Linked DNA regions of Arabidopsis thaliana. The protein of the gene in region 1 interacts with the protein of each later gene in a pairwise test. Each region holds a gene or a part of one and is shown in the gene's direction. Other genes may lie near its edges. The genes, in order: AT5G23820, DSK2 and AT5G42220.

Region 1 (6,642 bases):
TTTTTTTCTTCTTAATTTTCTTTGTTGCCAGAAAAATGCTTAATGTATACATTATGCTGAGATGGGATTTCCAATTACACATTACTAATAAAAGAAAATTTTCCTTTTAAAATATGTCATTACAAAAGTTTTTCTTTTTGGTTTAAAAATATAAAGTTAAAGGTGATGGACAAAATTAAAAGTAATGAGATAAGCACATTATTCTTTTCGTATTCTAAGCAATAAAAAAATGGACCATCAACCATTCCAATCAAATGACTTAAGGTAGATGTGACCATCGACTAAAATATCTTATATTATTCATATGAACACGAGTTTTATAAATTGGTACACGTAAATTTACAATAATAGTAGTAGTCAACCATCTGTCTTCCAATTCACTTAGACAAGGTTTCATTCCTCGGTAAGATAAAATGAATTCACATCGTGTACCCGCATAAATAGAAACAAACATACACATTACCAAATAACTTCATCTTCGTCCACACAAAAAATGGACATTAAAGAAGATGACGAGTCTCGAGTTATAACACCAACCGAGCTTCAACTTCATGATTCAGTTACTGCAAGAACAGGTAAATCTGTTAGTAATCATATAATCCATAATCATTAGTAATCAATCAAATAATTATTACGTTGTGTTTTCTTGTAAAGGAACGTTATGGACGGCGGTGGCACATATAATAACAGGAGTGATAGGAGCTGGAGTGTTGTCGTTGGCTTGGGCCACGGCGGAGCTCGGCTGGATCGCTGGTCCGGCCGCCCTTATAGCCTTCGCCGGGGTCACACTTCTCTCTGCTTTTCTTCTTTCCGATTGCTACCGTTTCCCTGATCCTAACAACGGTCCCCTCCGACTCAATTCTTACTCTCAAGCCGTTAAATTGTATTTAGGTCAACTTCAAAACTAATATTTCCGATAAGTTCAACTAGCGTACTATCTTGCCACCTAATGGAAAAGTTTTCAAAATCACGAGTTTAAATACATGCAATAAGAAATAACAAACTAATTTGGTCCGGAAAACTAAATTTTTATTTTAGTTGTAATTTAAATTTATTCATATGGGTAATTTTGATTTGCAGGGAAGAAGAATGAAATTGTATGTGGAGTCGTTGTATACATTTCCCTTTTTGGTTGTGGCATTGCTTATACCATTGTTATAGCTACATGCAGTAGGTAATAACATATGTAAACATATTTCAACTGTTGTTCTATTTCCTAGGAATTTTTTATTTTCCAATATTGATACGTAGAGTTTTTTGTTTTTCATTTCATTACAGAGCAATTATGAAATCGAATTGTTATCATAGAAATGGACACAATGCAACATGTTCATATGGAGACAACAACAACTACTTCATGGTTTTGTTTGGTTTGACTCAGATATTTATGTCACAAATACCTAATTTCCACAACATGGTATGGCTCTCTCTTGTCGCCGCTATTATGTCTTTTACTTACTCGTTCATTGGCATCGGCCTCGCCCTTGGCAAAATCATAGGTATAGATATTACTTTTTCTTTGTCAATTTTGATTTTGAGTATAAAATTATTTTGAGATGGGGGAAGACAATCAAATAACTTTGTTTTTGAAATGAAGAGAATCGAAAAATTGAGGGAAGTATAAGGGGAATACCAGCAGAAAACAGAGGTGAAAAGGTATGGATAGTGTTCCAAGCTCTTGGGAACATTGCCTTTTCATATCCTTTCTCAATCATACTTCTTGAGATTCAGGTAAATAATTTTACCTTCATGCATAATGACGCCAAGTAAGATTAATTAACACATTAAATAGCACTACTCTTAGAGATCAAGAAACCTTTTTTTTACGTGTGTTAAATGAAAATTAAGGACAGGACACATTGAGATCACCACCGGCAGAGAAGCAAACGATGAAGAAAGCCTCGACGGTTGCGGTATTCATCCAAACATTCTTCTTCTTCTGTTGTGGATGTTTTGGGTACGCGGCCTTTGGAGATTCCACCCCGGGAAATCTCTTGACCGGTTTCGGCTTCTATGAGCCATTCTGGCTCGTCGATTTCGCCAACGCTTGCATTGTTCTTCATTTAGTTGGTGGATATCAGGTATCTCAGAAACCCCTTGCCCATCTAACCAACATGCTCGTTGATTTTTATGTTTTCGTTCACATTTTAGAAAACAAACTACCATTCTAGTATTTTAGACAAAATATTTTTGGTTACTATGTGTCATTTTAACGTTTGCGTTTATGATTCACAAAATAAATTGTGTAAAATACCAAAAGAGGTTTTAAGTTGTTATGTAACATGTTCTAAAGCAAACAAACAATCGAGATCTAAAATCTTCCATACATTTCTAAAATATAGAATGACATTTTAGGTATACAGTCAACCAATTTTCGCGGCTGCGGAGAGATCGCTAACCAAGAAATATCCGGAAAATAAGTTTATCGCCAGATTCTACGGATTCAAACTGCCATTGTTGCGAGGAGAGACGGTGAGATTGAACCCAATGAGGATGTGTTTGAGAACGATGTACGTGTTGATCACAACGGGAGTGGCAGTGATGTTTCCCTACTTCAATGAAGTATTAGGAGTGGTGGGGGCACTTGCATTTTGGCCTCTGGCAGTGTATTTTCCTGTGGAGATGTGTATATTGCAGAAGAAAATCCGAAGTTGGACGCGACCATGGCTTCTTCTTAGAGGTTTCAGCTTTGTGTGCTTGCTCGTCTGTCTCTTGTCTCTTGTTGGATCTATTTATGGACTTGTTGGAGCTAAATTCGGATGATTAGCCAATGCCGATGTGATGTAGCGATCCTACTCTAGTTAATTGATAAATAAATGTGAGATCCGTTACAACTTATGTAAATGTAATTCGTATTTAGTATGAAATTTTGATTTTTAATGAATTAACTCTAAAGACGAATTTCCTACCATGTTTTATATTTTAAAACTACCATAAACAATCAAGGCCCCAAAATTATTGGAAAAGATTCAATCAAGGCCCCAAAATTATTTTTTTTCGGTAAGGTAGTCAATTCGTGTTGTCGTTATAGAACATGTGGTTTTGTCAAAAAAAAAAAAGTTTAAAATCAAATTTAATGTGTTTATAAATAATATAGTTCTTCGAGACGGATCGGTCTCTCCGAAATGAATCCACGTGATTGTGAATGAACAAAGGCGGTAGGTAAGGTAGTAAATAATTGACATTAAACACTAATATTATAACCTTCTCGTGTACAAAAACGTGGGGTTTAATATATATGGATATATATAATTTATGCAGGCCCTGGTCCAGAGCATCATATGCTAGTTATGATCCTATCTACTTATTCTGTAGATTATAAAATAGCAGACTTGCATAGAAACATAACATGTATTACAAACTTGTTTAGTCAAACTTGAAGAAGAAAAAAAATCTTTTTAAAGAGCTTTGAAGATCCATGGCGATGTCTCATGTCCAGCCTATGCTACTCCTCCTCGTATCACTCTTCTTCTTACCGGCTTTGCGTGGCGCCATAGATTTCGAATACTGCGCCAGTAAGTATCTATTTGTTAAGTCTTCAGTTACTTTTCTATATGATTTTTGTGTGTTTATTAGTTTATAAATGAATTATAAATTCAGATAGACCTTGATTTCATAGATTCTGGCTTGCTCATGGCTCTGTTTTTTGTTTCTTTTAGTAAACCAATATTTGAACTCTTTGACATTTGAATTGGATTCCAATTTTTTTTAACCTACCGGGGACTCGTAAGTTATAGCTTCCACAATTAATATATGCGACTGTTGCAGAAAATGGAAACGATTACGGAACCGTCACTAGCATTGTGGTCTCTCCATCTGTTGGGCCTCACGAAAACCCAACCATCACTATAAATTTATTCGGTTCTGCAAGTAAGTAACAATTAATTTTATGATCTAGTTTCAACTCTCTCTTTTTTTCTCTAGTTTTGAATATTTTCTTGATAAAATCCTTTATATATATAGGCAAAAACATCCCCGCGGGAACCCTTGTGTACGTAGCCTTTAGAGATGGGGAATTTACCGGCCTTTTAAAAACTTACAACCTTTGTGATGTGAGTGCATGTAACAATGAAGCTGAGATTGAAGCTGGCACCAACTTTGAGTTAACTCTTTCCGACGTTCTTTATGTTGGTTATGATGAGGTAACTACATTTCTACTCTTAGCATAGGAAAATAAAAAGCATGAATGAATGTGAATTTTCCTTAATCCTAGGACCAATGTTTCAAACCCAAGGTTGGACTAATTAAATAACCGTAATTGACCGGCAAAACCCCTAAAACTAGTACAACCGGTTCACATTGGTTTATTTATTTTTCATTTTCATTTTTATTTTTATTTTTTCAAGACTTGGCTTTATGCTTTAACATCACATCTTCTATTAGAAATTTTTTATACTTCCTTTTTCTCAACACGTTTAATTTTATTTTATATTTCTTATAAGTTATTTAGGGTATACTATAATAATTCTGTTGATATTTAAGATTTCACTTTGATATTGTTATTTTGAGTTTAACTACAATTCCATGCTTACAAAGTTAACTTCAAAAGTAATGTTTTTGGTTTCATGATGTTATATATTTCTCATTAACTCTACTTCTTTTCCATTTTATCATGTGTTGTATATCTTAGTGATAAATATAAAAACATTTTATGTATATTATACTATTAGTGAAATTAAATATAAATAATCAAACCGGTCTGACTTGATTCACATTACTTGGCAGGAAATCAAGTACTCGGTATCTTTGCGCCGAAAGACCTTAGAGGAGGAGGATCCAATAATAAAAATGTGTGTCGACTTCAAAGTACCTGCCCCAGCTCCTGCATTTGTCTCTATTTAGTCAAGTTGGCTGATGAAAAGATGTTTCCAAGTCTCTTTTGATTATATGAGTCTCTCTCGCAACTTTGCTTTTCCTTTTCCCTTTTTGTGTTGTCCAACAAATAAATTAAAATCTTGGACCGATATCGATAGCGATATGAACAAGCAATCGAGCATGTCTTTTCTTCGATTTACTGGTTGATATTAATCAAAAATAAAGTTTTTTACATAGGAAATGTTTTACTAGTAGCCCATGAGCATAATAAAAGCAGAGAGAACAGAGAAATATGAGGAGACTTTCAAATAATTACAACAAAGTTGGATGATTATCCTATTTTATATGATTTTACCAATCATAAAGCTCTACAAATTAACAATTAATCTAGGTGACTAAAACAAAATGAATGCTATCATTCTGCATGGTTATTTCACTTAGCCGTTTTTTTTTTCATTTTTGGTGAGAACAGAGAAATATCTCATTTTGTTGCTTCCGAAACTATCATAAAGTATACACTGCAAGGTATAAAGAACCGGTCCACAAATACAGTGAAATTGAAGGTGTGCTAAACATTAGATAACTGGTTATGCACCCTTACGCTAACACTTTTTCTTGCTAAGATACAACATCAAGAGTCAAGACATTTCCTTGAGATATATAGGCCGACTTTGCTAGCCGTTAAAATGTTAACTTTACGTTCTTTTCAAATCTGCAGATTTTATAATAATACAGTTCTTCTAGACGGATCGGTCTCTCCCAGATAAAATCCACGTGATTGTGAATGAGAAAAATTGGTAGGTAAGGTAATAAAAAATTGATGATGATCATACTAATATTTTAAGATTCTCGCTTATTATGTGGGAGATTAAAATATATGGATATAATTTTTGCACTTACGATCCCATCTACTTATTATGTAGATTATAAAATAGCAGGCTTGCATAAAAGCATAACATGATGTACCAAACTTGTTAGTCAAACAAAAAAAAAAAATATCCAAGAAGCTTTGAAGAACCATGGCGATGTCTCATGTCCAGCCTGTGCTTTTCTTCCTCGCATCACTCTTCTTCTTACTGGCTTTGTGCAGCGCCAACGATTTTGAATATTGCACCAGTAAGTATCGATTTGTTAAGTCTTCAATGTTCTATATTTTTTTTCGTGTGTTTAATTATAGAAAACCCCTATAAAACCAATTAGTTTGACATATGAATTCAAATAAATAAGTGGATTTTTTTCTTTCTTAGAAAGATGTATAGATCTAAGTGTTTTTTACCTGCAGAAAATGGACATGATTATGGTGTCGTCTCTTGGATCGAGGTCTTTCGGGTTGGGCCTCAGGAAAACCCAACCCTCACTATAAATGTATTTGGTACTGCGAGTAAGTAATAGTTTTGAATCTTTTGATGATTTTTCCAAATTTCAACTCTCTTTTTATTTTCTTTATATAGTTTCTAATATATTTTTTGATAAAATTCTTCGTGTGTATATACAGCGAAAGAAATATCCGCGGGAACCCTTGTATATGTAGCCTATAGATCTGGGGATTTTACAGGCCTTTTAAAAACTTACGACCTATGTGATGTGAGTTTGGCATGTAACATTGATTCTGAGATTGAAGCTGGCGACGTGTTTGACTTCAGTCTTAAAGACGTTCTTTATGTTGGTTTTGATGAGGTAACTATTTTTAATACTCTTTGTATATGAATTTGAAGTTTCCTTAAGAAGTCCTAGGACCAATGTTTTCTCAAGTAATGCTTTTGGGTTCATGATGTTCTTTGTTTCTCATTAATTCTTCTTTTTAACTTGGCAGGGAATCAAGTATTC
Region 2 (8,040 bases), on another chromosome or scaffold:
GACCCGAACCCAAAAACCGTCCATCGATGAAAGAAGTGGTGGAATCGCTCGAACTCATCGAAGCTGCCAATGAGAAACCGTTAGAACGAAGGACCACTAGAGCTTCCCCATCCATCCGTCAACAACAAGGCCATTATCGCCCGCAACAACTCTCTTCGTTTCGTCCTAGACAAAACGTGTCTCGAGCTCACTAGTGTTGTTTGAAGACACTGAGATTCTTTTCTTAGTTTTGTATTTGTTAAGATTATCAAAACCCATTCGTATGTATACTACATGAAAGAGAAAACAAATGTTGTACCTGTATTAGTATGTAGTGTTTGGTGTGTGTAATATAACTACTTAAACGGTTAAACCAGATTATGAAAAGGTTTAACTAATGGTCATCAATATATAAGCCATTGTTCACACAATTTTGTTGTTAAAGCTTCAAACTTTAGTTGTGGTTTGAAGTATGGTAATGGGATCACACTTGTGTTCAAAGCTACAAGCTTTGTCTTCGAAGATTAAGCAAGCTTCTGTTAGTGGAAAATGGCGGGAAGTGGTCTCTGGGTATTCAGAGATACAGAGAGCTGGAGTTCAATTTAACGATCCTTTCGTTTTCCCCATTGTTTTTAAAGCTTGTGCTAAGCTCTCATGGCTGTTTCAAGGTAGATGTATTCAAGCAAGTCTGTTAAAGAGAGGTTTTGAGTCTTTTGTTTCTGTAGGGAACTCAATTGCTGATTTCTATATGAAATGTGGAGACTTGTGTTCTGGGTTACGAGAATTTGATTGTATGAATTCGAGAGATTCGGTGTCTTGGAATGTTATCGTTTTTGGGCTTCTCGATTATGGTTTTGAAGAAGAAGGGTTATGGTGGTTTTCGAAGTTGAGAGTTTGGGGTTTTGAGCCTAATACTTCAACATTGGTTCTTGTGATTCATGCGTGTCGTAGTTTATGGTTCGATGGAGAGAAGATTCATGGCTATGTGATCCGTAGTGGGTTTTGTGGGATTTCGTCTGTTCAAAATTCGATCTTGTGTATGTACGCAGATAGTGATTCTTTAAGTGCACGTAAACTGTTCGATGAAATGTCTGAAAGAGATGTTATTTCTTGGAGTGTTGTAATCCGAAGTTATGTGCAGAGCAAGGAACCTGTTGTTGGATTGAAGTTGTTTAAAGAGATGGTTCATGAGGCGAAAACAGAGCCTGATTGTGTGACTGTGACAAGTGTTCTCAAGGCTTGCACGGTGATGGAGGACATTGATGTTGGAAGATCAGTTCATGGGTTTTCGATACGGAGAGGTTTTGATTTGGCAGATGTGTTTGTTTGCAATTCACTTATTGATATGTATTCAAAAGGATTTGATGTTGATTCAGCATTTAGAGTATTTGATGAGACCACTTGTCGAAACATTGTTTCATGGAATTCGATTTTGGCTGGGTTTGTACATAATCAAAGGTACGATGAGGCTCTTGAGATGTTTCATTTGATGGTGCAAGAGGCGGTCGAAGTGGATGAAGTTACAGTCGTGAGTCTTCTCCGGGTTTGCAAGTTTTTTGAGCAGCCATTGCCTTGCAAGTCAATACATGGTGTAATAATTCGGCGTGGATATGAGTCAAACGAAGTGGCTTTGAGTTCTTTGATTGATGCGTATACAAGCTGCAGTCTTGTTGATGATGCAGGAACCGTGCTTGATTCGATGACGTACAAGGATGTGGTGTCATGTAGCACAATGATCTCTGGATTAGCCCATGCTGGCCGATCCGATGAAGCAATCTCAATCTTCTGTCACATGAGGGATACGCCCAATGCTATCACCGTCATAAGTCTTCTTAACGCATGCTCAGTTTCAGCGGACTTGAGAACTTCCAAATGGGCACATGGGATTGCTATCCGGAGAAGCTTAGCCATCAATGACATCTCAGTTGGTACCTCTATTGTTGACGCATACGCAAAATGTGGTGCCATAGAAATGGCGAGAAGGACTTTCGATCAAATCACTGAGAAAAACATCATCTCTTGGACCGTGATCATTTCAGCATATGCTATTAATGGTCTACCGGATAAAGCATTAGCATTGTTCGATGAAATGAAACAAAAAGGTTACACACCAAACGCTGTGACATATCTGGCAGCTTTATCAGCTTGTAATCATGGAGGATTGGTAAAGAAAGGTCTCATGATCTTCAAATCAATGGTAGAAGAAGATCACAAACCTTCATTGCAACATTACTCTTGCATTGTAGACATGCTTAGCCGAGCTGGAGAGATTGATACGGCTGTGGAACTTATCAAGAATCTTCCAGAAGATGTTAAAGCAGGGGCTAGTGCTTGGGGAGCGATTCTTAGCGGTTGCAGAAACCGTTTTAAAAAATTGATCATTACCTCAGAGGTAGTAGCTGAGGTTCTTGAACTCGAGCCCTTGTGTTCTTCAGGTTACTTGCTTGCGTCAAGCACATTTGCTGCAGAAAAATCATGGGAAGATGTAGCAATGATGAGGAGGTTGGTGAAGGAGAGAAAGGTTCGGGTCGTTGCGGGTTATAGCATGGTTCGTGAAGGAAACTTGGCAAAGAGGTTTTTGGCTGGAGACAAGTTAAGCCAGAGTGATTCTGAATTAAATGATGTCGTTCAGAGTCTTCATAGATGCATGAAGTTAGACGATACTGCAGGACCGATAAACTAAAGCCCTTTGGGCCTCAACGAAGCAGATAAATGATATTATTATACGATGCCGTATGTATTCTCGGATCCGGGTGAGAAAAGGAACGAACCGGGTTTTGTTTTTGACCCGACCCGGTCCCTTCGATCCGTTCTCTGAAGCAGAAGTCTTCTTGTTTTGTTCTCTTCGATCCATTTCGTCAAGCAATCTACCGAACCGACTCAGAGCTTTTGAGTCTTCTAAATCTCTATCGAATTTTTCTAGGGTTAGGGCTCCTGATCGATTTCGCGAGCTCTGCGATTATTTTAAGTATTAGGATCCGAAATTAGAAATGGGTGGAGAGGGAGATTCAAGTCAGCCGCAGAGTGGTGAAGGAGAAGCTGTGGCTGTGAACATCAGGTGCTCTAATGGCACGAAATTTAGTGTGAAGACGAGTCTCGATTCAACGGTGGAGTCTTTCAAAGAGTTGGTGGCTCAGAGCAGCGATGTTCCAGCTAATCAGCAGCGCTTGATTTACAAGGGTCGTATCCTCAAGGACGATCAAACTCTCCTCAGCTATGGTAATCTTCATCGTTTCTGATTTATTCGTGTGGGTACTTTTGTTGTTCTCGTAGATCCTTATTGATTGAAATTCTTGTGGATTCTATTCTCTGTGGAACATGTTATACCTAGGTTTGCAGGCTGATCACACCATTCATATGGTTAGAGGCTCTGCACCTTCTTCAGCACCACCTCCTGCTCCGGCCGCAAGCCAAACCACTGCACCTAGTGTTACTCGAGGGGTTGGTTCAGATAATAGCTCGAATCTAGGAGGAGCGAGTCCTGGGGAATCTTTGTTCCCTGGGCTTGGATTTAATCCTCTGGGTGGTGGAAATGCTATGTCTGGGTTATTTGGAGCTGGTCTTCCGGATCTTGTGCAGACACAGCAACAACTAGCTCAAAACCCTAACATGATTAGAGATATGATGAATACTCCAGCCATCCAGAACCTTATGAACAACCCAGAGTTTATGAGGAGTATGATTATGAATAACCCTCAAATGCGTGAGCTTGTAGATCGCAATCCTGAGCTTGGTCATGTGCTCAATGACCCAAGCATCCTTCGTCAAACTCTAGAAGCGGCAAGAAACCCAGAGCTTATGCGTGAAATGATGCGGAATACTGATAGGGCTATGAGTAATATTGAGTCTATGCCTGAGGGATTTAACATGCTTAGGCGTATGTATGAAAATGTCCAGGAACCGTTAATGAATGCTACCACTATGTCCGGGAATGCTGGAAACAATACAGGCTCCAATCCATTTGCTGCTCTGTTGGGAAACCAGGGGGTCACTACGCAAGGAAGTGATGCTTCTAATAATTCTTCGACACCAAATGCTGGAACGGGGACTATTCCGAATGCAAATCCACTTCCTAATCCTTGGGGTGCTACAGGTGGTAAGTAACTGCATTTTCATCTTCTAATCTCCTGTCGATTTTATTTGTCTTTTGAAGGATGCAGTAATATTTTATAAATGAAAAAGTGGCTTGTTTATAAGAAATGGACGTTACTGTTCACTGCTCTGCTTCAGGAACAATATTGTGTATAGTAAATTGGTGAGTTAGTGTAGTTACCACAATTTGTTGTTATGTGTAGTTTTTGCATATGATTTTCTTGGCTTATTGTTTCTAATTTAACATTTACTCATAATACACTAAATATAATTGAACATATTGTGGGCTACTTGACAGGTCAGACAACTGCCCCTGGAAGGACAAATGTTGGTGGGGATGCGAGGAGCCCTGGACTTGGTGGCCTTGGTGGTCTTGGAAGCCTTGGAGGCCTTGGTGGACTCGGTATGCTTGGAGCGGATTCACCTCTTGGTGCGACTCCAGATGCTTCTCAATTGAGCCAGTTATTGCAAAACCCAGCCATATCGCAGATGATGCAAAGCGTATTTTCCAATCCACAATACATGAATCAGGTAGGCCTAGAATGATCTGAACTTAAGAGCCTTTTACCATTGTGAACATATATTAATTGTTTTCCCTTGATTCCAGCTTATGAGTCTTAACCCACAACTCCGAAGCATGCTAGATTCGAATCCTCAGTTGAGGGAAATGATGCAGAACCCAGATTTCCTTCGTCAGTTTAGTTCTCCGGAGATGATGCAGGTTAGTTTGTCCCCTATTGTCTGTATGCATATGAATTTTTAACATGGTAGTCTCTCAAAAGAAACATTTCTTTGTATCTAAGCTATTTTCAAGTAAAGAAGTTTCTTTTCTTTTTTTTTTTTGGGACAAAGTAAAGAAGTTTCTTAAACCTAATGTTTTCTATTGTTTTTTGGTCTTCAGCAAATGATGACTCTACAGCAATCACTATCTCAGAATAGAAATACAGCCAGCCAGTAAGTTTTGTTAAAACCCTTCGTTGTTTGGATTTGCTTAAACAAAGTTGAGCATTTACATGTCCTTTACATATTGTTTTTTGGGTTGTTTAGTGTTTAGACAATGTTGTAACTAGCTAAAAAGATTGGTTGTGAACGATCTCTATAATAAGAAAAGGATTGAACCATGACTAATGCAGCAACTCTTGTATGATTTACTGGGCTGATCACTAGTAACATCTATCAAAGAGGCTATAAATAAAGCATTTTAATCGTTGGAATACACTTGAATAGGGCTCATAACATTTTGTTTGTTTTTGATTATGCCTTTTAGCATAAGCTATGTGTGTTAATCTCCATATTTTGATTTTCATCAATCCGCATTCATGTTCCCAAATCTATCTTCTCTGTAGGGATGCGGGGCAAACTGGTGCTGCCACAGGTACTCTTAAAGATATTATATGTATTTATTCTACAGTAGTATAAAGGGTTTAGTTATGTTACGTAGTATAGCAGCTACTCTTTAGTTCTCTTTGCTTTCATGTATGTTTTATTTTAGCAGATATTGTATCGTATACAAGTTAATAGTAGAATGACAATACTGATGGGGACAGGAAATAACGGGGGGCTGGATTTATTGATGAATATGTTTGGCAGTCTTGGTGCTGGCGGCCTGAGTGGCACGAACCAATCCAATGGTTAGAGACTACAAATTTTTTTTAGCTTACGCATCTGTTGTGATGGTTCCACTGAAACTTGTCTGTTTGATTCCAGTTCCTCCTGAAGAGCGGTACGCTACTCAATTGCAACAGTTGCAGGAAATGGGATTCTATGACAGAGCAGAGAACATTAGGGCGTTGCTTGCAACCAATGGTAACGTTAACGCTGCTGTAGAACGACTCTTGGGGAGTATCGGACAGTAGCATACAGGTTCATGAACTGATGTCTCTCCATCTGGCTTCTCAGTTATAGAATAAACAGCTTGAATGTGTGTTTTTCAGTAATGATATATTCATCGAATTCATAAAAATTTATATATGATAGGATCGTGAACTTTGTTGATAGAAAAGCCGCATCAATACGGTATTTGTTATCAGTGGTCACTCTTCGTCTTTAACTACCCTTAAACCTATATATCTTGGGTGTTTATCTTTGATAACTTATTTCAAGTTGTTACAACATACAACATCTGTAAATGTTTATAGACATCAAAGTGAAATTGAACCCATTAAATTTTTGGTTCCTTCTGATCCGGTTCAAAGGTTAAACCAAATTGCCCAAAGAGAGAAGTGGCATGTTGCAAAGGAATATCCAATTAGTTGATTCATCATCTTCAATTAGATTCAAGTTACAGCCAATTCCTTCCTGAACTATATACCAAATGCCTCAATTTAGACCCGACCCGGCCCAATCTTACCCAGTAAGAGTCGTCGATACGTTCTCTGAAGCGCAAGTCATTTCTGGATTCTCATTTAATTGGCCGTTCGGGGCCAAATAACTCTTTAATTTTCTGCAGTCTCATTTGTTATTCGACCAAAAATAATTTATATCCCTTTCCTCAAGAAATCTTCAGAACCGACTTATTAGAGCTTCGAGTCTCCTCAAATCTTCTTCTACGATTTTTTCTTCTAGGTTTAGAGCTTTTGATTCTCCGATCAATTTCGCGATTTGTTGAACTAGGATCTGAAATTAGAATGGGTGGTGAAGCAGATTCGAGGCAGCCGCTGACTGCTGAAGGCGTAGCTGTTGCCGTGAACGTCAGATGCTCCAATGGCACGAAATTTAGTGTGACGACGAGCCTCGATTCCACGGTGGAGTCTTTCAAAGAGTTAATTGCGCAGAACAGCGATGTGCCGGCAAATCAGCAGCGTTTGATTTACAAGGGACGTATCCTCAAAGACGATCAGACTCTCCTCAGCTATGGTAATTTTCTGATCATTTCGTGTTTCATTTCTGTTGTTCCGTTGCTTTAATTTGACTGAAAATCTCATAGGGTTTCTAGGGGGTTGGAACATTGGATTTATGTTAGGTTTTTACAGAAGCATGGATGATTTTATGAGTTTTGATGTATGCTTAATCCTTCTATGGGAAGAATAAGGAGATGTAGTTAGTGATACGATAATTGATTCATACCATTCTTAGAGTTCCTAATGTTCTCATGATCATGTATCTTCTTGGGATGTATATTTTCTCCATCAATGGCTGTTGTTGATATGATTGTGTTGGATAGTTTCCACGTTTTATTGTTTTGCATCATGAGCCTCAATGTTTCCTTTCTCTGTGGACCATTTTATATATAGGTTTGCAGGCTGATCACACCGTTCATATGGTTCGAGGTTTTGTGCCTTCTTCTCCTTCTGCTCCCGCTGCAAATGCTGGAAACCAAACCACTGCTCCTCAAGCGGTTGGTTCAAATGATAGCTCAAACCTCGGAGGAGGTGAATCTTTGTTCCCTGGCCTTGGATTTAATCCTTTGGGTGGTGGAAATGCTATGGCTGGATTATTTGGATCTGGTCTTCCTGATCTTGAGCAGGCACAGCAACAACTAGCTCAGAACCCTAACATGATTAGAGAGATGATGAATACTCCAGCCATCCAGAATCTTATGAACAACCCAGAATTTATGAGGAGTATGATTATGAATAACCCTCAAATGCGTGAGCTTGTAGATCGCAATCCTGAGCTTGGTCATGTGCTCAATGACCCAAGCATCCTTCGTCAAACTCTAGAAGCGGCGAGAAACCCAGAGCTTATGCGTGAAATGATGAGAAATACTGATAGGGCTATGAGTAATATTGAGTCTATGCCTGAGGGATTTAACATGCTTAGGCGTATGTATGAAAATGTCCAGGAACCGTTAATGAATGCTACCACTATGTCCGAGAATGCTGGAAACAATACGAGCTCTAATCCATTTGCTGCTCTTCTGGGAAACCAGGGGGTTACTACACAAGGAAGCGATACTTCTAATAATATTTCGGCACCGAATGCTGAAACGGGTACACCTAATGCAAATCCACTTCCTAATCCTTGGGG
Region 3 (10,185 bases), 8.8 Mb from region 1:
AAACTCACAGGTTCCATATATGGCAGCCATATTTGCACTTTTCTCAATATTTCCTTCATCGTGTGTAAGTTTACATATTATATATATAGATTTTTTTTTTTTTTTGTCAACACATATTAGATATTTTTTATTCGAGTTTATACTTTAATTATATATTGAAATGTATTGTAATTCAACAATTCAAATTTAATTTACAGATGCGAAGCATTGTCTCCAAACAAGTAGCATCATATGAACAGGTAACTAAGTCTTGACTTATAACAAATTCCATTCATTTTATTATACCATAAATACTTCTTGTATAAAATGGACAGAAGAATAAATTATTTCAAAGAAAGAAAAAAGGAGTAGGATTAGTGGCTTACATGAGAAATAATGTTATTTTTACATGAAATCGAACGTTATTATTTAATTTGTGCGAGACTGGTTTTGACTTTTATCAATTTGGTTAATCGGTCAATGCAAACTCTAACTCTCGGTAATATTTTCAGGGGAAAGCCCAAGGAATTATTTCAAGCATATGTTCCCTTGCAAATGTCATTTCCCCGCTAGCATTTTCACCTCTAACAGGTTTCATCACTATTTACATAAGCATTGTTTAATAATGCTATTTCAAAAACTTCTGTAGATAGAAATGCAAATAACTTGCTACTAACACTAGTATTTTTATTTTTCTTAGATTGGTTTCTGTCTGAAAGAGCCCCATTTAATTTCCCAGGGTTCAGTATAATGTGTGCGGGATTTGCCATGGTAATATACTTTATGTTTTTGCATTTTCTACTGAAATTCACTCAAGTTAGCCTCCATGAAACTATACAAATAAATGTCCGGTTAAACCAAGAAAGGAACGTTATCCTTTTAATTAGTTTTTACTTTCTTAGTTTTCATACTCTTATCTAATTCACAACGAATGCTGTTGTTGGTTGTGCAAAAAGGAAACTTTAAATCTTATCTAATTTCCCATGAAAAATCACTAACTCATTCAGTTCTTTTTTTTTTGGTTTAACATTTAGTTATATGACAATGTATGTGAAACATATAAACCTTTTAATTGATTCCTCAAAGTTATATGAGTTGTTCGATTACTAAGAAAAATAATATATATAATGTCCGTTACTTTGTTTTTCTTTGTAGACTATAGCTTTCATCCAAAGCCTGATGATCAGAGCAGCAACACCAATATCAGTTATGGGATCTCCATAACACAGTTTCCTCAAAACCATATGGATTTCGTAGTGAAAGATAATATACAGGTTTTAATTGCATTGGTCGAATCCTTGATGTTTTTTTTTAACCCATATTGTGTACGGGTTTATGATATCTAAAGTCAGCAAGACACCAATAGCTTGTATAGGTTAGTCAATAACTCCTAGGGGAAACACCATATTTAATGGCCGTTTCAGTTAATTTAGATATCTTCTTTCTTTTTTTGAGTTCAAAGTTAGTTTAGTTGTCTAAAGCAACAAAATAGCTCCAATATTTGTATCATTAAATTTATTTATATACATCATAATTATTTTTGTATATATAGACATAATTGAAACATGTTTTATTATAATCTATATATACATTTTTGCAGCCATTTTGTGAAATAAATCCTTTAGTTGTGACTTATTTACAATGGCTGCCACTGGATTTTAATGTTTGTTTTTGATAATTAAAAAGAAAATATTCGAATTAAATATTTGACATTTAACAATCTTCCCAAAATATCTCCACATTAACTACACGATTATTTACTAAAATAATACTTCCAAAATATTTAATATCATTTAATTACTACAAAATTATCATTTTTGATATTGATTTTCTCCATAACTATAACAATTCGATTATAATCATCAAAGCGCAGAGATATAATCTGATAGCATTTAATTACTACAAAATTACAAAATATTTAGACAATGATTCATAAACATATCATAAATAAGATCAACATTAATAAAATAAATAGTTTTTTTTTTACAGGACGGGTTTGACAGGACGATACTTAATAACATTTGTAAACTATAAAATAAAATTATTTTATAGATAGATACAATTTGTAAACTTTTATATATACTAACTTTAAAAAATAAATTGTTCCCGCGGTATACCACAGGTTAAAATCTAGTTGTTTTTGTATTTTAACTAATAATGTGGACTAAACTTTAGGTGGAATACCTTTAGTTAACGGATCCGCTTTCATGAAATTTCTACCTATATGCTTAACTGAAACCACATCATCTTGAATCCTTTCTCACACAATATGACACTCTATGTCTATATGCTTTGATTGTTCTACTTTTGTTGTTGTTTGCATATACACTGCCGCAAAATTGTCAGACTAAACTTTAAATGATCTTTCGACACATAACCAACATGTAGTGTTTTTCACAGACTGTTCAAACCTAATGAATATAGTGTTTTCCCTAACCTAATGGCCGGTGTATTCTACAATTTTGAAAGATTTGCCTGAGTGACAATAAAAAAATCTCAAGCTTGTTTCTATCTCTAATCTCTTATACTGCAAATGTTAGAACGAATACTTTGGCACGAAAAATTCGTACTGAATCGCTTCATATATGTAAACAATTTTTTCTAAAGTTGACTCATTTGAACATTAATATAATTTGATGACAAAAAATAATAAAATAATAACCATTATTAACGACAACAATAACATAGATTCGTTTCAGTTATATGTAAACCATAATCTTCATGATTAATCCAGTTATGTGTAAACTTAAATACTTAAATATTAGAAATCAAAATTACATAATAAAACAGAAAAAGAAGCACATGTTTAAAATTTATTTTAGATATGGTTAAAAAGGCCAGGCCCAGCTTTATATTATTAATAGAAGAGTCCACATTTAGAGCGGAGACTAGGCCTATATTCGCGGAAGCGTCAATTCAGGTTTTCAAAACGTCGTCGTTGTATCTTCCTCCTCTAGATTCTTCTTTTTCTTTTCAATTTCACCAAAATCCCGAGTTCCCGACACAATCGCCCTTGTTCTTCCCCTTTAACTCTGAACACATCAGGTTTGGTTTCGTGTTTCAACTTTGAGATACTTCTCTAGATTTCAATCGGAGAGTCTTTTGTTCCGCCAAAGTTTCAATTTTTCAATACCCCACGACGGCAAATAGGTTCGTTCTTCGTTGCCTTCATGGAATTTGATTGTTTTTTTCTTAAATCTTGATCCTTTTTTTCCGTATCTATAGGCTCTGTTTTTGCCTTAGCAGATTTGTTTTTGGGTTTGGACGGTGAAAGTTTTGATTTTTGAACAGTGATATTACAATGACTTGCATTTATTTGGGTCTGGGTCTTTTGTTTGTGGCTTTGGATGGTGAAAGTTTTTGATTTTTAGCATTTTTATTACAATGACTTGCATATATATAGGATTTGGTCTTTTGTTACAATGACTAGCATTTAGTTATGTCATTTGTTTGTGTCTCATTGTTGATTCTGTTTTGTATGATCAATATCTGGAAATGTGTGTGGTAAAGGTTTTGATTTGAGTACCCTAGAGATAATATTGTTTATTATGAGATCATTCTTTTGTAAGATGAATTTACAAGCTTTATGTTTTTTAAATTTTAATACTTTAGGGTTCATGGAAGATCAACCCATTAACCAGTGCTCTAGTAGCACCAATGCGTCGGAGAAAACTCCAGAATCAACCCTTGAGCTTAACATCAAAACGTTAGACTCGCGGACGTATACTTTCCAAGTGAACAAGAATGTAAGAAATCTTCTTCTTCTTCTGCTTCACCTGCATATTTGCTTAAGTTTAGTTTGCTTATATCTGATACTGCTTAGGGCTTGACTTGTTGCAGGAAACTGTTTTGCTATTCAAGGAGAAGATTGCTAGTGAGACAGGGGTGCCGGTTGGTCAGCAGCGGCTCATTTTCCGAGGACGGGTTTTGAAAGATGATCATCCTCTCTCGGAGTATCGTATCCTAGTGCTAGCGACTTTGTTAACTTGTTGATTTTATGTTATAGTGTAGCTGTTTGTTGCATTATGCCATGTGCCCTGTGTATAAAATGCATGTTAACCAAATCTGTCGGAAGTCTAGTTTTTGATTGATCAAGTGCATCTCTGCTTTTGTGAGTCTTACACCGTAGAGGAAGCTGTAATCCAGAAAGAGAACTATATATATATATATACCTTCGATAAGCTTAGTTTTAGTTTATGTCTGTCGTTTCCTTCCATCGCTTTTCTACTTTCAGTATAGTTGATAACTTGACATCGTCATAGATTTGGAAAATGGGCATACTTTACACTTGATTGTGAGGCAGCCAGCAGAATCAGCTCCTTCCTCTGGTACACCTTCACAAGGGGCAACTGCAAATGATGGTAATCAAGTTATTTTTTATCCCCTTTCTGAGTTTTAAAAGAGCTGTTAACACAACCATCATCTTATTTCAACTTGTTATTTAATTCAACAGGAAATAATACAAATGGTGGACCATCTCGAAATGGAAGACATGTCTCCCACAGCGTAGTTCTTGGGTCTTTTAATGTTGGAGATCAGACAGAAGGCATTGTTCCAGACCTCAGCCGGGTAATCCCCAAGGATTTGTGATATTGTTTGGCCTATGGGATGGTTTGATTAGTTAGGCTAACCTGCTTTTAATTTTGTGTTGCTAACTACTAAGGTCATTGGAGCAGTTCTAAATTCTTTTGGAGTTAGTGGACAGCTTCCTACAAATCACAGTACTAATGGCACGCAATCCTCTATGCCCGTGAGTTTTTTTCTCGTCACTCTCTATTTCGAATTTATTCCATATTAGTGCTTAGTCTACATTAAGGATTGTTGAGAATCAGGTGTTGTTACTATTTGATGTGTAAGGTTTCATATTGTCATCAACTATTGCCTGTTTCTAAACTCGATGTTGCATGCGCTTTTATTTTTCCTAGTCGAATCAGTCGTCTAATGCACCTCCTGGAAATACATCTGATGGAGAGCCTGGCATTGGTGGTCAAAGCCAAGCTACGGGTCATTCACAACCTAGGCAAGCATTTCCTGGTGTATCATTTCAAACATCGATGCCTCGTGTAGTTCAGATTCCTGTTACAGCAGCCACAACGATTCCTATCCCTTCATTCTTAACGGTAGTTCTTAGTCACGTAGTAGTATTTTGATCTTGAGACTAGAGCTTTAATCTTGTCATTTTACAATGTAACTCTCTAATTCTGCAGCCTATTCCGGATTCCTTAGACACTCTAATGGAGTTCATTAATCGGATGGAGCAGGCATTATCACAAAATGGTATTGTGATCTAAGTTTTATTGTCATATTGGATAGAGAACACATAAATAAGTTAATTGGATGTTCCTCCAGGCTATCAGCCAGATACCTCTTCTGCTGGATCCGGAGGGCGACCAAGGGAAGAGTTGCCTAGAAATAGACGAGGTGCAGCAACACCTGAAGCACTCTCTGTTGTCCTAAGGAATGCACAACATTTACTGAGTGGTCTCGGTGTCTCTTCTTTATCGGTAAACACCTTCTTCACACTGCTTATTAATTGATTCCATTCTTTCTCTTTACAAGAACTGTTATGTATATGGTTACCATGCATTGTCATCTAATTATGTGCTGTTTGTAATTTGCAAAAACATTGTTGTAGCATATTGCGGGACGTCTGGAGCAAGATGGTTCATCTTCAGATCCTACTCTAAGGTCACAAATCCAGACAGAGGCCGTGCAAGTAGGTCTTGCCATGCAACATTTAGGGGCCCTCCTACTGGAGCTTGGACGCACAATTTTGACATTGAGAATGGCACCGTCGCCGGTGCGTTTTGGGTCATTCCTTTCGTGCATTTTCCTATTCATTCTTGACATGCGGCTCATTAACACTTTGATCTACAGGAATTATCCTATGTGAATGCAGGGCCTGCTGTGTATATATCTCCATCAGGACCGAATCCTATTATGGTTCAGGTAAGCTTCTAGTCTCATCTTTTTTCTAAATTAATTTTCTACTTTTATGTAATTATTACTGTATTTTGCAGCCTTTTCCTCACCAAATCAGCCCTCTCTTTACTGGTGCTACTGTCTCATCAAATCCACTAACCGGACCTGTTGGTTTAGGAACTGCCCAAAGGCACATTAATATTCACATACATGCTGGTGGGTGAAGTTCACTTTTTTGCTATTGGACTTAGCTGCACAATTCTTCTCCATTAAAATTCATACTTAATTACCAGGCACATCAGGTTCACCTATGTTGTCATCAGTTGGGAACCAGCGAAGCAATGGAGAAGGAGGACAAGGAGACCGTGACAGCAATACAAGTTCAGTTCCTGCGGCTGTTCCATCACACTCTACCGGTGAGAACGTTTCTGCTGGGGTTCAACCTGGTTTGGGTGATGATGTTTCAGTTGCTCAAATCAATGCAAGGATAAGAGATATGGTAAACATTATGCAAGGAAGAGACCAGATTCCATCGGGTAGGTTTCCTGCTGACTAAAGTTTTACATTGTGGACGAAATGTTTTCAAGCTCTTCTTCACGTGTCAATCAGGAATAGAATCTCTCGAGAGGGATATGTCTACGGGCCATGGTGTTGCCACTGCTATGCCTGAGCAGCCTACCAACATTGCAACTACTTGCGCACCTGAGTCGTCTAGTGGCTCACTGCATGACTTACCATCTGAGAGGAGCAACTCAGTGGTATGTCTTCTCTGCAATCAGATGATTCTTTATTTTATGTTCACCAGGGTTAGCCTACCACTAATTTTTGTTTTTTCAACCAGTGTCAAAATGAAAAAGATCTTGGTGGAGATTTAGAGCATCCAGCCCGAGCAAAAGATACCTCTTGTACTACAGGACAATCATCAGCTCCGTCTGGAGATGCTACCGGTGATGCCAAAGAAACCAATAAGGCTACTCCAGAGGTAGCTACAGCTACACCACTTGGATTGGGGCTTGGCGGTTTAGACCGTAAGGTAATGAATCAGTTGAAAAATAAGCGTCAAGTTGCTGCTGCTTGTTTTTCATTGCATAGCATATCCACAAGTGTCATAGTTCCAAATGCTTACAGTCATAGTATGTTTTTTTTGGTTAAAGAAACGAAGCAAGCAGCCGAAGGTATCAGGTAAGACTGAAGATAGCGGGACTTCAGCTACACTTGAAGGTGTGCAACAAAGCAGTGGGACCAGTGGTCAGCAGCTTTTGCAATCTCTCTTTTCTGGTAGTTCTCGTTCAGATGAGACTGGTCTTAGACGCGGGCAAGGTTCAGATGATCGTGTAGATGTCTCAAGTGCAATGTCTCAGGTCCTGGAGAGCCCTGTATTGGATGGATTGCTAGCAGGGGTATCTCGACAAGCTGGTGTTGATTCACCAAATATGCTGAGAAATATGCTCCAGCAGTTTACCCAGAATCCACAGATCATGAACACAGTCCAACAGATTGCGCAACAGGTGGATGGGCAAGAGATAGAAAATATGATGTCAGGTGGAGCTCAAGGCGAGGGCGGCGGCTTTGATTTCTCTAGAATGGTCCAACAAATGATGCCTCTAGTCTCACGTGCTTTTAGCCAAGGAGGGCCATTGCCTCATCCCGCAACAATACAGCCTGATGATCGTCAACCTTCTCAGGTACATCTACGAGTGTTAGGTTTGGATTTCTTGCGTTTTTGATTTAGGAAAAAAATGTGGCTGAAGAAAAACTGATACTATTATCGACTGAGTAGGATTTTGTTGTTGTCTTTTTTTAGTTGTAGAAAAAGTAACACCATTCTTACCTAGGTATTACAATAAACGTCATTGTCTCTTGTTCTATCTCGTGTAATGAATGTTATTTTTCTACTTTTTCCAAATAGGTAAATGTTCAATCCATGGCTCAAATGATTGAGCACTCTGATCCACCAGAGGATGTCTTCCGTGCAATGGTCGAAAATGCTGCGATAAGCCAAGACGAACTAGTGAACGAGCTTTGCTGTGATGAAGCTCTTTCTCAAGTAAGCATCAAAACTGACTAGTTTGTTTGTTTAATAAAAATAAAGACTCCTTGATCAGACTTGTATTTGAGTGTTGCAGGAATATGCGGAGTTGCTAAGACGTGATATCGAAGGCCGGCTAAAAGATGATCAAGGTCTATAAGATATTTGGTTGAATTGGTTCTGTAAGTGTCATATCTTTGAAGTATCTTTGTTTATTTGCTGAGATCCCTCACTTATGTATTAAGAATTAGGGTTTGGGATGGTCTATACTCTGCTAAACATAAGCAAACGTAATTTATCTGGTCTCTAAAGGGCCGATTCAATTTGATATTTCCATCTTTAACCAGAGATTACTCATAACTCTCGACATTGACCAAATTACTTGGGAAAAAGGTGTCCCTTTATAACTGACAATTTTGGTTTTGATCGAAAATTTGGCTAAAGGGCTACACTAACGAGTGACTGTAGCAAATTATATATTTAGTTTAATTCCTTAACAAATAGGTAATAAAGATTGCACAATAAATATGGAATGTAAACTAATAAATAGTAGAATAATTCAGAAAAATGAACTGTCACGACAACCCCAATAATAAGATGTTATATATTATTTAATTTTTATAAAAAATTATATATTATAAAATTTACTATGAATTTTTAATATGTTTAAAATTACAAAGTTGTTGTGTTTGTTTTGTTGTACAAATTTATAATTTTGGATTATGACAAATTAATAATATTGTTTTATTTTATATTTAATTTCTAAAAGATTATTAAAATTTGTTTTATGGTTTTACGTATTCAAGGGTTGTGAACAATTGATCACCACCGGAAAAATTAAGGATGACGACAAAATTGAACTAAAACATCATGGGTTCAGAGATTTTCAAGATCAGCGAGCCATGACTTAGCGACATCGGAGATCATGAACATTCCTAAGACAAGCTGTCTTTTGTGATGAGTTTTGCAAATAATTGTTTCATCGCTAATTTTTCTTACTTATGACTTTTCTAGAGTGAAAAAGACTAAATTTTTAATTATTATTAGGACCCAAGTTCGAGATTTTCTAAAATAAATCTCAAATGGTTCACCAAGATATTGCAACGTTTGTATTTCATCCAAATTGAGCGAAAAATGAATAAATGTTGCAATTCCTTCATTTGAAAAGATGCAAAAGAGAAACATCGATTGTGTCAAATCAAACCAACTTCAATTATGGTATGCTTTGTGCATTTCACTCTCGATCTTTTGAATATTCAAAGTCGTATGAAAACTAGTTATGTTGCTTTTAGTAAATATCAACATTTTATTAGATTATTTTGTCACACAACAACAATGCTTTTGATGATCAGGCTTCATAGTACATTCCCCATATAAGTAATAGGCTATTCTTACACAAAAGAACAAGCATCCTTCGTAACCATTTTTACACGGTTCTGGGCCGTAGCATTTATCTTCTTGCTTTATTTCAAAACCTATATTATAGTAATAATCAAGAGATCAATATATATATAAACTCATAAGAAAAAAGTGGTTGATTCATAATAAGATAGTACCAGAAGTGTTATCTAATTCCGAGCAATAAACGAAAGGCATGACAAAGAGGAGGATGAGTACAAATGCGGCAAAACATTTCTTGGTGATAGCCATGTCTAATATAGTCTCTTAAATTTTCTTACGACTGATTCTAGCACTTACGATGATTATATATATAATAACACAAACATACATTCAAAGGTTCTTTTTGGTGAAAGAGGAAAAGGAAAAGAATCCAAAAAAAAATTCTCTTGAGTTAGTCAAAAGAAAAAATAAAGAGATAAGTATTCTTACCTAATTATGTTTGAAACATTAATAAGATAACATACATTGTTTTACAAATATTTAAATACGAAAATTCTTTTCAATTCAATTAAAAAAAAAAAAGATCTCAGGTTCCATGGTTGGAACTTGAAGTTAAATTGAATTTTTTGTTAAAGATAAGATGTAATAATTTGATCTAAACAGAATTAGTTTATATTATATCATTCTTTAATATGATTAAAGGGTCTATACTTAGTTTATTAAACAAATATACATAATTTTTTAAGAAATATATATTTTTATACTAAAATAATATATATATATATTGTGAATTTTAACGCCTTCTATAGTTAAAAATATTCAAGTAACAACTTTATGTCTGATATATATTCAATAATTTCAGATTACAATAAGTCTTCGCAATTCTTCGACAAAAATATTAAAAACTAGATATT

The links.
Region 2: the proteins of AT5G23820 (region 1) and DSK2 interact in a two-hybrid assay, tested with the Arabidopsis thaliana proteins (one large-scale study listed by BioGRID).
Region 3: the proteins of AT5G23820 (region 1) and AT5G42220 interact in a two-hybrid assay, tested with the Arabidopsis thaliana proteins (one large-scale study listed by BioGRID).

Annotation. Positions count from the first base shown.
Region 1 is NC_003076.8:8,027,968-8,034,609, forward strand, and holds AT5G23820 (MD-2-related lipid recognition domain-containing protein), read left to right. Parts: upstream 1-3,197; 5' UTR 3,198-3,418; coding exon 3,419-3,515; intron 3,516-3,768; coding exon 3,769-3,870; intron 3,871-3,963; coding exon 3,964-4,142; intron 4,143-4,725; coding exon 4,726-4,842; 3' UTR 4,843-5,182; downstream 5,183-6,642. Other genes in the region: AAP7 (amino acid permease 7), read left to right, coding at 494-575, 655-891, 1,081-1,174, 1,279-1,499, 1,598-1,731, 1,854-2,081, 2,356-2,763; AT5G23830 (MD-2-related lipid recognition domain-containing protein), read left to right, coding at 5,835-5,931, 6,098-6,196, 6,311-6,492, 6,629-6,642. UniProt on the Arabidopsis thaliana protein: May be involved in herbivory-mediated responses. May play a role in herbivory-associated molecular pattern (HAMP) recognition. May function is jasmonate (JA) signaling in response to HAMP.
Region 2 is NC_003071.7:7,480,020-7,488,059, reverse strand, and holds DSK2 (ubiquitin family protein), read left to right. Parts: upstream 1-2,819; 5' UTR 2,820-2,969; coding exon 2,970-3,198; intron 3,199-3,310; coding exon 3,311-4,075; intron 4,076-4,369; coding exon 4,370-4,602; intron 4,603-4,678; coding exon 4,679-4,792; intron 4,793-4,972; coding exon 4,973-5,025; intron 5,026-5,417; coding exon 5,418-5,446; intron 5,447-5,618; coding exon 5,619-5,702; intron 5,703-5,778; coding exon 5,779-5,927; 3' UTR 5,928-6,179; downstream 6,180-8,040. Other genes in the region: Kin3 (Protein kinase superfamily protein), read left to right, coding at 1-194; AT2G17210 (Tetratricopeptide repeat (TPR)-like superfamily protein), read left to right, coding at 452-2,662; AT2G17190 (ubiquitin family protein), read left to right, coding at 6,699-6,927, 7,305-8,040. UniProt on the Arabidopsis thaliana protein: Binds and presumably selects ubiquitin-conjugates for destruction. Prefers multiubiquitin chains rather than single ubiquitins, with a binding affinity for 'Lys-48'-linked ubiquitin chains.
Region 3 is NC_003076.8:16,869,366-16,879,550, forward strand, and holds AT5G42220 (Ubiquitin-like superfamily protein), read left to right. Parts: upstream 1-2,872; 5' UTR 2,873-3,129; intron 3,130-3,591; 5' UTR 3,592-3,596; coding exon 3,597-3,725; intron 3,726-3,819; coding exon 3,820-3,937; intron 3,938-4,241; coding exon 4,242-4,340; intron 4,341-4,432; coding exon 4,433-4,548; intron 4,549-4,642; coding exon 4,643-4,729; intron 4,730-4,904; coding exon 4,905-5,099; intron 5,100-5,186; coding exon 5,187-5,256; intron 5,257-5,328; coding exon 5,329-5,483; intron 5,484-5,614; coding exon 5,615-5,779; intron 5,780-5,856; coding exon 5,857-5,928; intron 5,929-5,999; coding exon 6,000-6,117; intron 6,118-6,194; coding exon 6,195-6,437; intron 6,438-6,510; coding exon 6,511-6,659; intron 6,660-6,742; coding exon 6,743-6,934; intron 6,935-7,055; coding exon 7,056-7,586; intron 7,587-7,810; coding exon 7,811-7,948; intron 7,949-8,027; coding exon 8,028-8,090; 3' UTR 8,091-8,112; exon of another isoform or gene 8,113-8,367; intron 8,368-8,736; and 2 more. Other genes in the region: AT5G42210 (Major facilitator superfamily protein), read left to right, coding at 11-64, 198-239, 492-570, 680-750, 1,135-1,203; AT5G42223 (Defensin-like (DEFL) family protein), read right to left, coding at 9,245-9,405, 9,487-9,580.